Saccharomyces cerevisiae S288C: one gene and its partners. The gene in region 3 interacts genetically with the main gene of each other region. Each region holds a gene or a part of one and is shown on either strand. Other genes may lie near its edges.

Region 1 (4,448 bases), on a different chromosome or scaffold from region 3:
TGGTTATAGTTGTGGGAGACTCTATGGCTGGAAGAATAAAATGCGTCATTTTCGTCGTCATCGTCATCATCTTCGTCGTAAGACAACGAAGTTACACCAATAGCCTTTTGAAGTGCCTCAATATCTACCTTGTTAGATTCATTTTGGCAGTTGTTTGTTGAACTATCAGGATTCTTAAATATATTTATCTTCTCCTTTAATTTCCTTAAATTGGCAAAATGGAATTTTGTATTCGAAGTGTTTGATATAGCAGTATCATTAGTTTCTAATGTAGACGTTGTACCCATGGATGCTGAAAAAGTTGGAGGTAAAATTATTGGGTCATTACTATTTGCCAATACCGCTGTATCTGATTTAGATGACATGGAGAAAACATTGCCATTTCTGTAGGGCTGTCCCTCATCCTTATCCTCGTGACTTGTGCTAACACACTGGGGAGTAATCTGTCTCATCGTAGAACCATGAACATAGTCATACTCTGATTCTGTTGGCAATGGTGGTATCGGCCTCATAGCCATAGATGAATCCAACCTGTCCATTTCTTTGTTAAGATCGTCCCTGTTTAAACGAGGTACTTTGGGAGTGAAAGTCAACTCAATGAATATAGTGCCAGCAAATTCATCCCCACTTCTTTTCAGTTCGTACCAGGTACAATAACCCTCCTTCGGGTCTGCTCTAATAGCATTTAAAAGGTCTATTTCACATCTTCCAATTGGCAGCGGAGATTTTTTCCTTCTATCGCAGTAAACTTCGACGTACATTAAAGGCTTTATCTCTGGAGTAATATCAAATTTTTCTAAATAATGGAAAACAGGGTTTTGACCTGCTCGATGTAGAGTGTTGCTGGCTCTTGTCATATGAGCTATTCGCAACCTAAGCATTACATTTTGCTTGTCCAGTTTATTCAAATTAGGCAAGTCTCTAGCTTTGCTCACATATACGGAGAGGATTCCTTGGTTTCCATTCCATACTTCTTCGGACATTCGACAGTGACTCAACGAGTTAACCCAATTCCAGTTGTGAAACCTAAGGTCTCCGAATTCTCTCGTACTATTAACATACCTTTCTATGTTTTTATCTAAATCATATGAGGAACGCTAGGCCGTCATTCATGATCAGCAGAGGCGGCTTTTCATACAATTTTACAGGAAGCTAAGTACTTAGAGGACTTATGCTCTGTTTGGTCCTGCGGAAACTACCAGAATACACAACGCCAAGAAACTAACAGAGGACCATTATGGAACTGTTACCACAGGGACAAAGGAACAACACTCAGGTAACGTTCGAAGATCAGCAAAAGATCAACGAGTTTTCGAAGTTGATTATGCGTAAGGACGCCATTGCGCAGGAATTGAGTTTACAGAGGGAGGAGAAGGAGTACCTCGATGATGTGTCTCTAGAAATTGAATTGATTGACGAAGATGAGCCCGTGCAATACAAGGTGGGCGACCTCTTTATCTTCATGAAACAGAGCAAAGTTACCGCACAGCTCGAAAAAGACGCAGAACGTCTCGACAACAAAATAGAGACTTTAGAGGACAAGCAAAGAGACATTGATTCCCGTCTTGATGCTCTGAAGGCGATCCTGTATGCTAAATTTGGTGATAATATCAACCTTGAACGTTAGAACACTCATTAAAGTGTGGGCTGTGGGTGTCTCCACAAAATGAGTAATGAAAAATTTTTAATTTTTTCAGGAGGGAAATTAAAGAAAAGTAAAGAACATGATAATAAAAAGCAAGTTTAAGTTATTGTGTATGAGATAGAGTTTTTTTTGTATACCTTTGTAATCCGCATATATTCCTAAGTACCTTTTTTTTCAGACAGAAAAAAAGAGTTTCTTTACGGAAATTACTTCTTTCGTTTGATATTGTTTTTCTCTTTCGAGATTTAAGAACGTGGTTGTGTTTCGTGTTTCTGTGCAGATCATATTAGAAAGTTTTTTTCTCCATTTTGATAGACAAAACTTGTTGTTTCTACTGAACACAGCATATAAGCCAAGAAAATAGTTTTCCAAAAATGTCTCAAGTGCAAAGTCCTTTGACAGCAACGAACTCTGGTTTAGCTGTCAATAATAACACAATGAACTCACAAATGCCTAACCGTAGCAATGTTAGATTGGTCAATGGTACTTTACCCCCATCCTTACATGTTAGCTCTAACCTAAATCACAACACTGGCAATAGCTCTGCCTCCTATTCTGGCTCACAATCACGCGACGATTCCACTATAGTCGGGCTGCACTATAAGATAGGTAAGAAAATCGGTGAAGGTTCATTTGGTGTACTTTTTGAAGGTACAAACATGATCAATGGATTACCAGTTGCTATCAAGTTTGAACCAAGAAAAACAGAAGCCCCACAGCTAAAGGACGAATATCGGACCTATAAAATTTTAGCGGGAACACCTGGTATACCACAAGAATACTACTTTGGTCAGGAAGGATTACATAACATATTGGTTATTGATCTGCTTGGTCCTTCTTTAGAAGATTTATTCGATTGGTGTGGAAGAAGATTTTCGGTAAAAACTGTTGTACAAGTCGCAGTACAAATGATAACTTTAATTGAAGATTTGCACGCTCATGATTTGATATACCGTGATATTAAACCTGATAATTTTTTGATCGGAAGACCGGGTCAACCAGATGCTAACAAAGTTCATCTAATTGACTTTGGTATGGCCAAACAATATCGTGATCCAAAAACTAAACAACATATTCCGTACAGGGAAAAGAAATCATTAAGTGGCACAGCAAGATACATGTCGATAAATACACATTTGGGTAGAGAACAATCGAGAAGAGACGATATGGAAGCTATGGGTCATGTCTTCTTTTATTTCTTGAGGGGGCAGCTACCATGGCAAGGTTTGAAAGCACCAAATAACAAGCAAAAGTACGAAAAAATTGGCGAAAAGAAAAGACTAACAAATGTTTACGATTTAGCTCAGGGTCTCCCAATCCAATTTGGTAGGTATTTGGAAATAGTCAGAAATTTATCGTTTGAGGAAACTCCTGATTATGAGGGCTACCGCATGTTACTTTTATCTGTGTTGGATGATTTAGGTGAAACAGCAGATGGACAATATGATTGGATGAAGCTGAATGGTGGCCGTGGTTGGGATTTGTCGATAAACAAAAAGCCGAACTTACATGGTTATGGTCACCCAAATCCACCAAATGAAAAATCAAAAAGGCATAGAAGTAAAAACCATCAATATTCATCACCCGATCATCACCATCATTACAATCAACAGCAACAACAACAGCAGGCTCAGGCTCAAGCACAGGCTCAAGCACAAGCCAAAGTGCAGCAACAACAATTGCAACAAGCCCAGGCCCAGCAACAGGCCAATCGTTATCAATTACAACCAGATGACTCGCACTATGACGAAGAAAGAGAGGCGTCGAAGCTTGATCCAACTTCGTATGAAGCATATCAGCAACAAACTCAACAAAAATATGCTCAGCAACAACAAAAGCAAATGCAACAGAAATCCAAACAGTTTGCCAATACAGGTGCCAATGGTCAAACTAACAAGTATCCATATAATGCGCAACCAACGGCGAACGACGAACAAAACGCTAAAAACGCAGCGCAAGATAGAAATAGTAACAAATCATCGAAAGGTTTTTTCAGTAAGCTAGGATGCTGTTAGAATAGAAAACGGAGGAGGTTTTTTGTAATCATTCCCACCACCGTCCAGTGATCTTCACATTTTGTTCTAGTATTATGATTTTGATGTACATTTGATATTTTTTTATGTTTTTTATTTAAAAAGTAAGGGCGAAAATGTCTATTATTAAAAAAATATTAAGTACTTTACGTGCTTTTTAATATCGTTTTTTATTGATTATGTATCTTTAATGGGTTATTGATTTTTTTTGTTTTCTTTTTATATAGTATATACGCTTGACGTTCCGCGCGATTGTTTGTTATTTATAGTGTCCTTCTTAATTAGATTTTTCGTCGGCGTTATTGTGTACTAAATACAGAGTATCAAGATCTTTGATCTCATTAGTGACTCTTAAGGAAGCGCCAATATTATAAAATGAAACTTGTTTACCCTCTTTCAATTTGCATAGTTGAAATTTGTCATTAGAACTTGAATTAGTTAGTGTGCTAGATTTCACGTTTAGCTGGATAGACAAATAGTCCATGGCCCTACCCACAGGCCACATTTTGTTAATGTATAATGGCATTCTTGTATCCTCCTTGGCTATATCCGTCTCATCACCATCCACCAAGTAACACCAAATGTAAATCCTATTTTGCATAGGAATCTTGGGGTCACCTTTAGCAATTTTCTTGAGATTAGCCAATTGAATTATCTTATTCGACGAGGAACCGAAATTCTTTTTTGATTTGTTATTGCTCTTTCTTTTCTCATTCCTTTGGAAGAACTTAAATATTTTGTCTAATGTCTTTGAGTTCAAAGTAGAGCTC
Region 2 (4,273 bases), on a different chromosome or scaffold from region 3:
AACCAAGGTTGTGATTAATTGAGTTGATCTTCTTTAGTAGACCATCCTCACGTAAAGTATTCAAAATTTCATTGTCTTTATTCCTGGCTAAGGAGCAATCAAGCTGCAGAACGTTACATCTGTAACATTTTCCAATGAAAGGTTCAAAATCGCACCTTGTCTTCACTCTCCTGCAAGTATCACAACTAAATGTTTTTCTTTTCTTTCTAGGTTTTTTGTTGCCATTATTCTTAGGACTGTTCGTTTCACTGCGCTCTTTGGCTCTTGCACTATCCTCTGGGTGGTTTATTATGGATCTGATACTATTTCGCACCTTTCCAGAAGCAGAATTATATCCAGCAGTCATCGGTAAACCATCTGGTCTGGGGCTTACTGAGGCATTTGAGTTTATATCCATTTTTTTCCCTGATGTTCAGCAAACCGAAAGAAATATAAAATACAACTGGGAAAGATGTTTTAATGGTGAGTAAGCAAAATGTGAGTGGTTTTAACCCTAAGGAAGAACCGTATCAAAACACTATTTTTCAATTAAATCATCTACCTAATGAGCTCATTTTGTTAAGATGATCTACCATAATAATTATTCAAAAACTGTCAAAATTAAAAGGAGGGTAACAGTTTCAATAGTTTAACCAGTTTTGGTAATGCCTGAAATAACATAAAAAGCTGATGCTAAGTGGGCTACGCTATGCTCCAGGTGAAGATAATCAGAACACTACATCTCTACTGCAAATTTATATCTCATAAGAACTAAATAAAATGGCTAGTATTTAAGTTAATCTTCTAACCTAAAAAATTATCGAGAACAATACCGTGAAAACTGCATAAACTGACATTTTGAAAGCATCAATAAAAATGTTCTTCGGAGCACTGTTTTCCATCTTCTTTGAACTTCCTTGACTTTTTGCACCATTTTTTCCTTTTTCTTTCTTTCCATTATCATTGTCAGTTTCCTGCTTTCCTAGTACATTCCCCTCTTCATCAACATTCAGCATTTTACTTTTCATACCAGATGTGCATTCGATTTTACCGCCTCTTATGATCGAACGACCGGCTTTTGGTGATGTAAATTCTTCACAGTTTAATTCCTCAGATGAACTTTTGATATAAGCGCTACCTTTTACTAACTTTAGCTCTGGGAGGTCAATTTTATCAAAGCTACCTTCAAAATATATTGCACCGCCAATTTGCCTCAACTTGGGGAAGAAATCAATTTTGGCAAGCTCTGTATTGTTAGCAATCATTAGACCCCCTTGAATATCGGTGGCATTCGAAAAGTTTAGCTTTTTCAGATTTTTATTATCTATTAACCCCAACGTTCCTTGAACTTTTGCCAAAAGTGGTAGTTCCAAGCTTGAAAATTGATTCTCGATGAACTCTAGAGAACTGTTCACAGAGGAAAGTTTAGCTAGTTTAATTTCTGAAACGTCCTTAATGGTCATATTTTCAACCGTGTGTAAGTTGCTCAAATCAAGTTCCAGCTCTTTGGCATTAGAGTGGACGGTTAGTTGTTTAGTAACACTTTCTAAACTTGCGAATAAATTTTCTAAAAACCTGTTATTGTTGATATTGAAAATATCCACTTTCTTGACGTTATTGAAGTAATCGATGGAGGTTAATGCAGTATCAGATATGATAATATTTTTGATCTTTTTAATATTTCCGTTAATGACAACACTACTTAGAATAGGCAAAACTCTCCAATCAACGGTTTCAACTTCTTTTAAAGCGGGAAAGTCTAATGATACAAAGGAAGTTAGGCTATCCAATTCCAACTTTCCCAAAGACTCTAAATTATAACCCTGGATTCTAAAAATGTGTTTGTTATTCTTGATAATAAGATCTCCCTCTATCTCTCTTATTAACCCTAGATCAATAAGAGATCCGCTGTAGTTACTTGATATTTCAATGTTTCCTACCACTTTCCAACATTTAGCTTGCAGTTCAATCAAATTTCCAGCATTCTCAATATGATACAAGCCTTTTTTACAGTCTTCATCTACTTGTGTTTGTTTTGTTGGAGAAATCACCTCAAAATCAGTTTGTTCCTTTTTAGGGATCGTTGCATTAGTGTTAACCAACATAATGTTGTGATCTAGAATATTCGGTCCACCATTAGGTTCAACTGCAGCGGATGATTTAATTAACTGCAGAAACAAGAATAAAAATCTTAAGATTGTGTTCAACTGGTTCAACATGCTATCCTTTTCTTTTTTTGTAGAAACTTTGGTTTCTTTATTGACTATTTGAATAACAGAAATACTAGTGAAGAATGTTTGTGTTTTCCAAATTGGCATTTTCTTTTATAGTCTAAGTAATGCCACAAAATATTTTTTTTGAGACGCATCAATGACGGGACAGTAAAGACATAAACGCTCGATCAGAAAAAAAGAATCGAAAAAAAAAGGGAGAAATAAGCAGGTAAATAATCAAAAACACATGACTTTTTACTGTTTGTTATATAATTCAATATATCCATCCTTCATTTATTGAAGATGAAAGAGAATGGAAAACAAAAACTCATGCATATACACACATTATATATATATATCTATTTTTTTAAACGAATCCTTTCTTTATTGCTTCAATTCTTAGTGAGATCTCTTCTATAAAAACCTCATTAAATCCAGGAACGTTTGCCTCAGTTTTAATGAATTGCTTTAACATTTCATTTACGTATTTTCTTGTTTCATCGTCGCGCGCACGATCATACATTCTGTTGAGAATATGAGATACAATGTTTTTCAAGTAGTCAAACTTTTCTATCTTCAACGCCTGAATATCGTTCTTTTTATGCTTCTTATTATGATTAGAGAGAGGAACTATTTCGGTCTCTGCTTGAGCATTTGGGCAGCCTGAATCTATATCCATTCCTGAATCAAGCTCGAAAACTGGTTGCGTACATTTTCTAAATGATGAAGAACTTGGGTTGGTTATCGGCGTTACAGTTTGCCCATGAAGTAAATAAGGACTTTCCATATTTAAAGATGATGTTGGAGAGTCTTGTGTAATGGGAGATAATTCCTCTTTGGAAATTTGTGTTGTGCTTAGTCTTGTCGATTCAAAATTCCAAAATTCCTTTCCCCTCACTGTGTTGCTGTTTTTATACAAGCGATTTTGAAGAGGGTATTTGGGAACTTTTGTATATCTCTCCTGAACCTTTTTCTGTTTAATTAGATCAACATCACTTTTCAAGTTCGTTATGGTGATATTCTTAACAAATTCAAATGATAACAAGTTATATGCCGATGGCCGATCAGCAGGTGTTTTAACAAGACAACCAGCTACGAAATCCTTTGCTGCATCCGAAAAGGGACCTTGTAATTTTGGAGGCTTCCTTTTTGGTAAGTTAGTCATAACTTTCATAGGATCATATTTAGATAATGGGGGTAAGCCCTTGAGTAACTCATAGGTGGTGATACCCAAGGACCATATATCTGCTTTCTCATTATACCCATCAACTTCGCAGCAAACAACTTCCGGAGCCATCCAATACGGCGTTCCTACAAAAGTGTCCCTTTTCAAAGTGGAACGAATGTGGCCACTTACTCCGAAATCACCCAACTTAACCATACCTTCTTCATTTAGTAAAATATTAGCTGCTTTGATATCACGATGAATTTTCCTTTGCTCATGCAGGTATTTCAAACCCAAGGTGACTTCATGAATAATGAAGGAAACTTTTTCTTCAGGCAAACCGTTGACGTAACTTCGCTTCAGTAAATCTGAACATGATCCACCGCCGCAATATTCCATGACAATCCACATAGAGACATCTTCTAACATTGTTGCAATATAGTTTGTAATAAGAGGAGATTTCAATTCCGCCAGAAAAAAAATTTCCTGTGCTAACAGTTCAATGTCTTCGTCGGAATGCTCCAGGTTGACCACCTTAATTGCCACAATTTCTTGCGTAACTCTATCCACTGCTTTATACACATCACCAAAGTTACCTCTGCCAATACATGATTGGATGGAATATAGCTTCGATGGAGGGGTTCTTGACCTAATTGATATTTCTTTGCTTTCCATTTTGTGCTATTTTCTTTTGTTGTTTAGTAAATGAATTAGCTAGTAAAAAAACTAAATTTAAAAAGCAAATGCTGGTTTGCTTTCTTTTGAGAAATGTTTGCTAAGACAACTGACTAGCCAGGTGTTCACTAAATCGATAATATTGAAAATGGCAAAATAAGAAAAAAAAAGAAGAGAATTAGCTGGCTTTTTTTGGATAGGAAATATTAAATGAAGCAGTTGGAACCAAGATAATAAACAA
Region 3 (4,924 bases):
GTTTGTAGATACGCCAGCGTCGACTCTAGAATAGTGGATATGTTTTTGCCTTGGTAACTCTTTAACTCGTTGATCTCTTGAAGCAAGCATCTGGATCTGGTCCGCGCTTGCTTTCGTTTAGAAATAATATGTCTTATTAGTTGGTCTTTGCACTGTTTGGTGTAAAGCTGTGGGTAAAACTCAAGCGGTATATCCACGCCATTGGGTAGAGACACTGATTCTGTATTTGTTTCTAGTTCATTGAACAGGATTGTTAATACGGGTGCCACCTCCTTCAAAGTATTCTCCGGTTCCACATATCTCGCCTCTTCTTGCTCGCCACCACGAATCACGTCTTCTTCTTCTTCCTCTTCTTCGGGGTACAATAAAACGTTGAACATTTTATATAGATTAGAATCGTACTCTTCAGGAAGAAAATGAAACAAGGACAAAAACGTCTCCATTGGAGGTTCATTCTTGTTCGGAGTATGCAAAGCAGAAGATATAAAGAGACTTCTTGTTTCCCGGTCTCTGATCCCAGGACACATTTCCAAATCCACTGCCAATGATTTGATAAACGCTGGGAGCACCTCATAAAGATGCTCGGAATCGGCCAGCTTGGACCTCAATTGCGGTTCCAAGGACGACGTAAACACCTTGGCCGAAACAAAGGCTCTTTCACACTTTCGCGTGTTAACCACGGAGATGAGTTTTTGCAACTGCCAGAGCAGATGCGGTTGCAACCCTTCATTAGGTCCGCTGGCCAGCACGATCTCCGACGTAGTGGAACCATCTTCTGCCTCGCAATATGCAAGTCTGTATTTGGGCTCCGTAAACGATGAGCCCTTGAACCAGTCTGCCCTATAGTTCAAATCCTTAAAGTCCGGTTTCAAGAACACGTGTGGGAAATACACGGCCGTGAGCAACGCAAACAGCCCAAAATAGCTCTCAATTAGACTATTCAAGGGTAGCGGCAACACAACCGTAGGATCGCCCACGTTCGACTTGAACTCGTTGTGTTGTACTATACTATAAGAGGGGGGAGGAATGGATGTCTCCGATATAGAATAACGATCGTAGTTCTGAGCAGTAACCCTGCATCCGCTGGTGCTATTAGAACCGCTGCGTTCATCCGTGATGTCTTCATCGTCATCATAATCAACATCGACACCACTCACATCCGGCATATCAATGTCTTGGTCCCCGTTGTTCGGAACATCGCAGGGCTTGGTTCCAGCCACTATTTTGTTCTCAGAAATCCTAGGCTGACTGCCATCATTCTCCTCACCCATTTCCGCTTGCTCCGGCAGCTCGTTCGAAAAGATGAAGTTAACTGCTGCCTCCAAATTACCGCCAGTTCTTTGGAGGGCGTCCACAGCTACTTCGTGTGGAATACCCATTTCTAGCAGTGACTTTACAGCCTGATTATCCATCATCGTAGCTTACTTAACAAAAATCAATTACTTAAGATTCCTTTTACAGGTGACGACTCTCCTTTTCCGGCTTCTTCTCTTCTTTCCTCTACTCCGACAGGTCCTTAAGCCTTGTAGTGAGAAGTACCTTTCAACAATAGTATCTTTTACTTCCGTGCCGGGTCGCCCGGACATCACCCGCCCGGCACAGATGCCTTGGCAGCAAGCGCATCCATCGCTGCATCTCCGCCGGAAAAACAGATGTTCAGTACATGAAAAGACGTTTTTATTCGACATAAACTTTTTCAGCTAGCAAGAAGGATCTCTTTTTAAACACTCTATACAGGTGCACACAAAGGGTTGTTGAAACAGAAACACAAACGCACGGCGAAATAATATTATTTATTCGACTTACGAATTTTTCAAAGAAGTCGTACTGGTGTGAAGTGGAAAGTTTCAAAGATAGTTTGAAAAGCAGGGAAAAAAGAACATAGTGAACCTTCATCGCCACAGTGACAGGTTCAAGGAAAAAATTCACACACACACACATACGCATACGCACACAAAGCACTCAGCTCTATATACATAACAAAGAATATTGTAATTCGACACTATTTGGTACATTCAGAGGGTCCTAAGACAGCACAAATCAGTTATATAGAAAAAAAGAAGAAAAAATCATGAGTGAAGAGGAAACGGTCTCAGCCCCAGCTCCAGCTTCTACACCGGCCCCGGCTGGAACCGATGTAGGTAGTGGTGGAGCAGCAGCTGGAATAGCTAATGCTGGTGCTGAAGGCGGCGACGGTGCCGAGGATGTTAAGAAACATGGGTCGAAGATGCTAGTGGGGCCCAGGCCGCCACAAAATGCGATATTCATCCATAAGCTATACCAGATTCTGGAGGACGAATCGCTACACGACTTGATATGGTGGACCCCTTCGGGCTTATCCTTCATGATTAAGCCTGTGGAACGGTTTAGTAAGGCTTTGGCTACATATTTCAAGCATACTAATATCACGAGCTTTGTAAGACAGTTGAACATTTACGGCTTTCACAAGGTGTCGCATGATCATAGCAGCAACGACGCTAATAGTGGCGACGACGCCAATACTAATGATGACAGCAATACTCACGATGATAATAGTGGCAACAAAAACAGTAGTGGCGACGAAAATACCGGTGGCGGTGTCCAAGAAAAGGAGAAAAGTAACCCCACTAAAATCTGGGAATTTAAGCATAGTTCTGGTATTTTCAAGAAAGGTGACATTGAGGGACTCAAACACATTAAGAGAAGAGCTTCTTCCCGTAATAACTCCTCAATTAACAGTCGAAAGAATTCTAGTAATCAAAACTACGATATAGATTCCGGTGCAAGAGTAAGACCCTCTTCGATTCAAGACCCGTCCACCAGTTCCAATTCCTTTGGTAATTTCGTTCCGCAAATTCCGGGCGCCAATAACTCTATCCCCGAGTACTTTAATAACTCTCATGTAACTTACGAAAACGCAAACCATGCCCCGCTGGAATCCAATAACCCGGAAATGCAAGAGCAAAACAGACCTCCGAACTTTCAAGATGAAACACTGAAACATTTGAAAGAAATAAATTTTGATATGGTTAAGATTATAGAGTCTATGCAGCATTTCATATCTTTGCAACACAGTTTTTGTTCACAGAGTTTCACCTTCAAGAATGTGAGCAAGAAAAAATCGGAAAATATCGTGAAGGATCACCAAAAGCAACTTCAGGCATTCGAAAGCGATATGTTAACTTTCAAACAGCACGTCATGTCGAGGGCCCACCGTACAATAGATTCTCTTTGTGCTGTAAATGCTGCCGCTACCGCTGCCTCTGTCGCCCCTGCACCCGCGCCCACATCCACATCTGCATATGCACCCAAATCTCAGTATGAGATGATGGTTCCTCCAGGGAACCAGTATGTCCCGCAGAAATCTTCCTCGACCACGAACATCCCTTCGAGATTCAACACGGCTTCAGTGCCGCCCTCGCAACTTTTTGTACAATACCAACCGCAGTCGCAACAACATGTGACTTATGCGAAGCAACCGGCACATGTACCAAACTTTATCAATCAGCCGATACCCATCCAACAACTACCTCCACAATATGCAGACACTTTTAGCACTCCACAAATGATGCACAATCCTTTTGCCTCGAAAAATAACAACAAACCGGGCAACACGAAGAGGACCAATAGTGTTCTCATGGACCCGCTGACTCCCGCAGCGAGTGTTGGAGTTCAGGGTCCACTAAACTATCCTATCATGAATATTAATCCTTCTGTCCGTGACTACAACAAGCCTGTCCCTCAAAATATGGCTCCGAGTCCAATATATCCTATTAATGAACCAACAACGAGATTGTATTCTCAACCAAAAATGAGAAGTCTCGGGTCTACAAGCTCTTTGCCCAACGATAGAAGAAACAGTCCTCTGAAGCTGACACCGAGATCATCGTTGAATGAAGATAGTCTGTATCCCAAACCTAGAAACTCTCTCAAATCCAGTATTTCGGGCACGTCTTTATCCTCCTCTTTTACACTAGTTGCCAACAATCCAGCCCCAATTCGGTACTCTCAGCAGGGATTGCTTCGCTCATTAAACAAAGCTGCTAATTGTGCTCCAGATTCGGTAACTCCATTAGACTCGTCTGTCTTGACGGGCCCTCCTCCAAAAAACATGGACAATCTTCCTGCTGTTTCTTCAAATTTAATAAACTCCCCCATGAACGTCGAGCACAGCTCAAGCCTATCACAAGCAGAACCTGCACCACAAATAGAACTACCGCAGCCATCTTTGCCCACAACGAGCACCACTAAGAATACTGGCGAGGCTGACAATAGTAAGAGAAAAGGGAGCGGTGTTTATTCTTTACTGAATCAAGAGGATAGCAGCACGTCCAGTGCTGATCCTAAAACTGAAGATAAGGCCGCTCCGGCACTCAAAAAGGTTAAGATGTGATCTTTGCCTTTTTAATCTCTAGTTGTCTAAAAGTTCAAAGCACCTCACTGTATGTTTATTACCTTTGTTCCAATTACTTTTGTTTCAATTACTTTTGTTTCATTTCATTTTAGGTATCCCAACGGGTAATCATTGTTATTTATTTTATTCACTTTTTTTTCTTTTCCTCCTGATCCTTGTGATTATAACTATATTTTTACCAACTCCGGTAGTTGTTTTATTAAGTTTTCATCACACTAAATTGTATTTTCCACTTTCATTTCCACCTTCCTTTCCCCTACCTCCCTTCAATTCGTATCATAATACCGCCCGTTCTTTCTAGTATATCACAGAATAGCTACGGGGTATTGTCTCATAAACAGAAAAATGCACCTTTCGATAAACTTCCTGTACAATAATTCTATAAGTATATATGTATGTTTGCTATTAAACAACCATCACAAAAAGACACCTTATTCTTTATGGACGCCTTCAAGTTGTGCTCCTATTCTGTAGTTGTTGCACCATGCATGTTACCATCATAGCCGTCTAAGCGGGACTATTTCCTTTTGT

Evidence for each region. A genetic interaction does not mean that the proteins touch.
Region 1: mutations in SFL1 (region 3) and YCK2 together harm fitness more than expected from each alone (negative genetic interaction), as found in Saccharomyces cerevisiae (2 studies listed by BioGRID).
Region 2: mutations in SFL1 (region 3) and SPS2 together harm fitness more than expected from each alone (negative genetic interaction), as found in Saccharomyces cerevisiae (2 studies listed by BioGRID).

Annotation. Positions count from the first base shown.
Region 1 is NC_001146.8:342,848-347,295, reverse strand, and holds YCK2 (serine/threonine protein kinase YCK2), read left to right. Parts: upstream 1-2,019; coding exon 2,020-3,660; downstream 3,661-4,448. Other genes in the region: INN1 (Inn1p), read right to left, coding at 1-983; tubulin-binding prefolding complex subunit GIM3, read left to right, coding at 1,238-1,627; CUZ1 (Cuz1p), read right to left, coding at 3,956-4,448. UniProt on the Saccharomyces cerevisiae protein: Casein kinases are operationally defined by their preferential utilization of acidic proteins such as caseins as substrates.
Region 2 is NC_001136.10:1,483,007-1,487,279, forward strand, and holds SPS2 (Sps2p), read right to left. Parts: upstream 2,298-4,273; coding exon 789-2,297; downstream 1-788. Other genes in the region: URC2 (Urc2p), read right to left, coding at 1-397; putative serine/threonine protein kinase SPS1, read right to left, coding at 2,560-4,032. UniProt on the Saccharomyces cerevisiae protein: Involved in middle stages of meiosis. Redundant with SPS22 for the organization of the beta-glucan layer of the spore wall.
Region 3 is NC_001147.6:584,910-589,833, forward strand, and holds SFL1 (Sfl1p), read left to right. Parts: upstream 1-2,071; coding exon 2,072-4,372; downstream 4,373-4,924. Other genes in the region: RUP1 (Rup1p), read right to left, coding at 1-1,415. UniProt on the Saccharomyces cerevisiae protein: Involved in cell surface assembly and regulation of the gene related to flocculation (asexual cell aggregation). Mutations in SFL1 causes constitutive cell aggregation.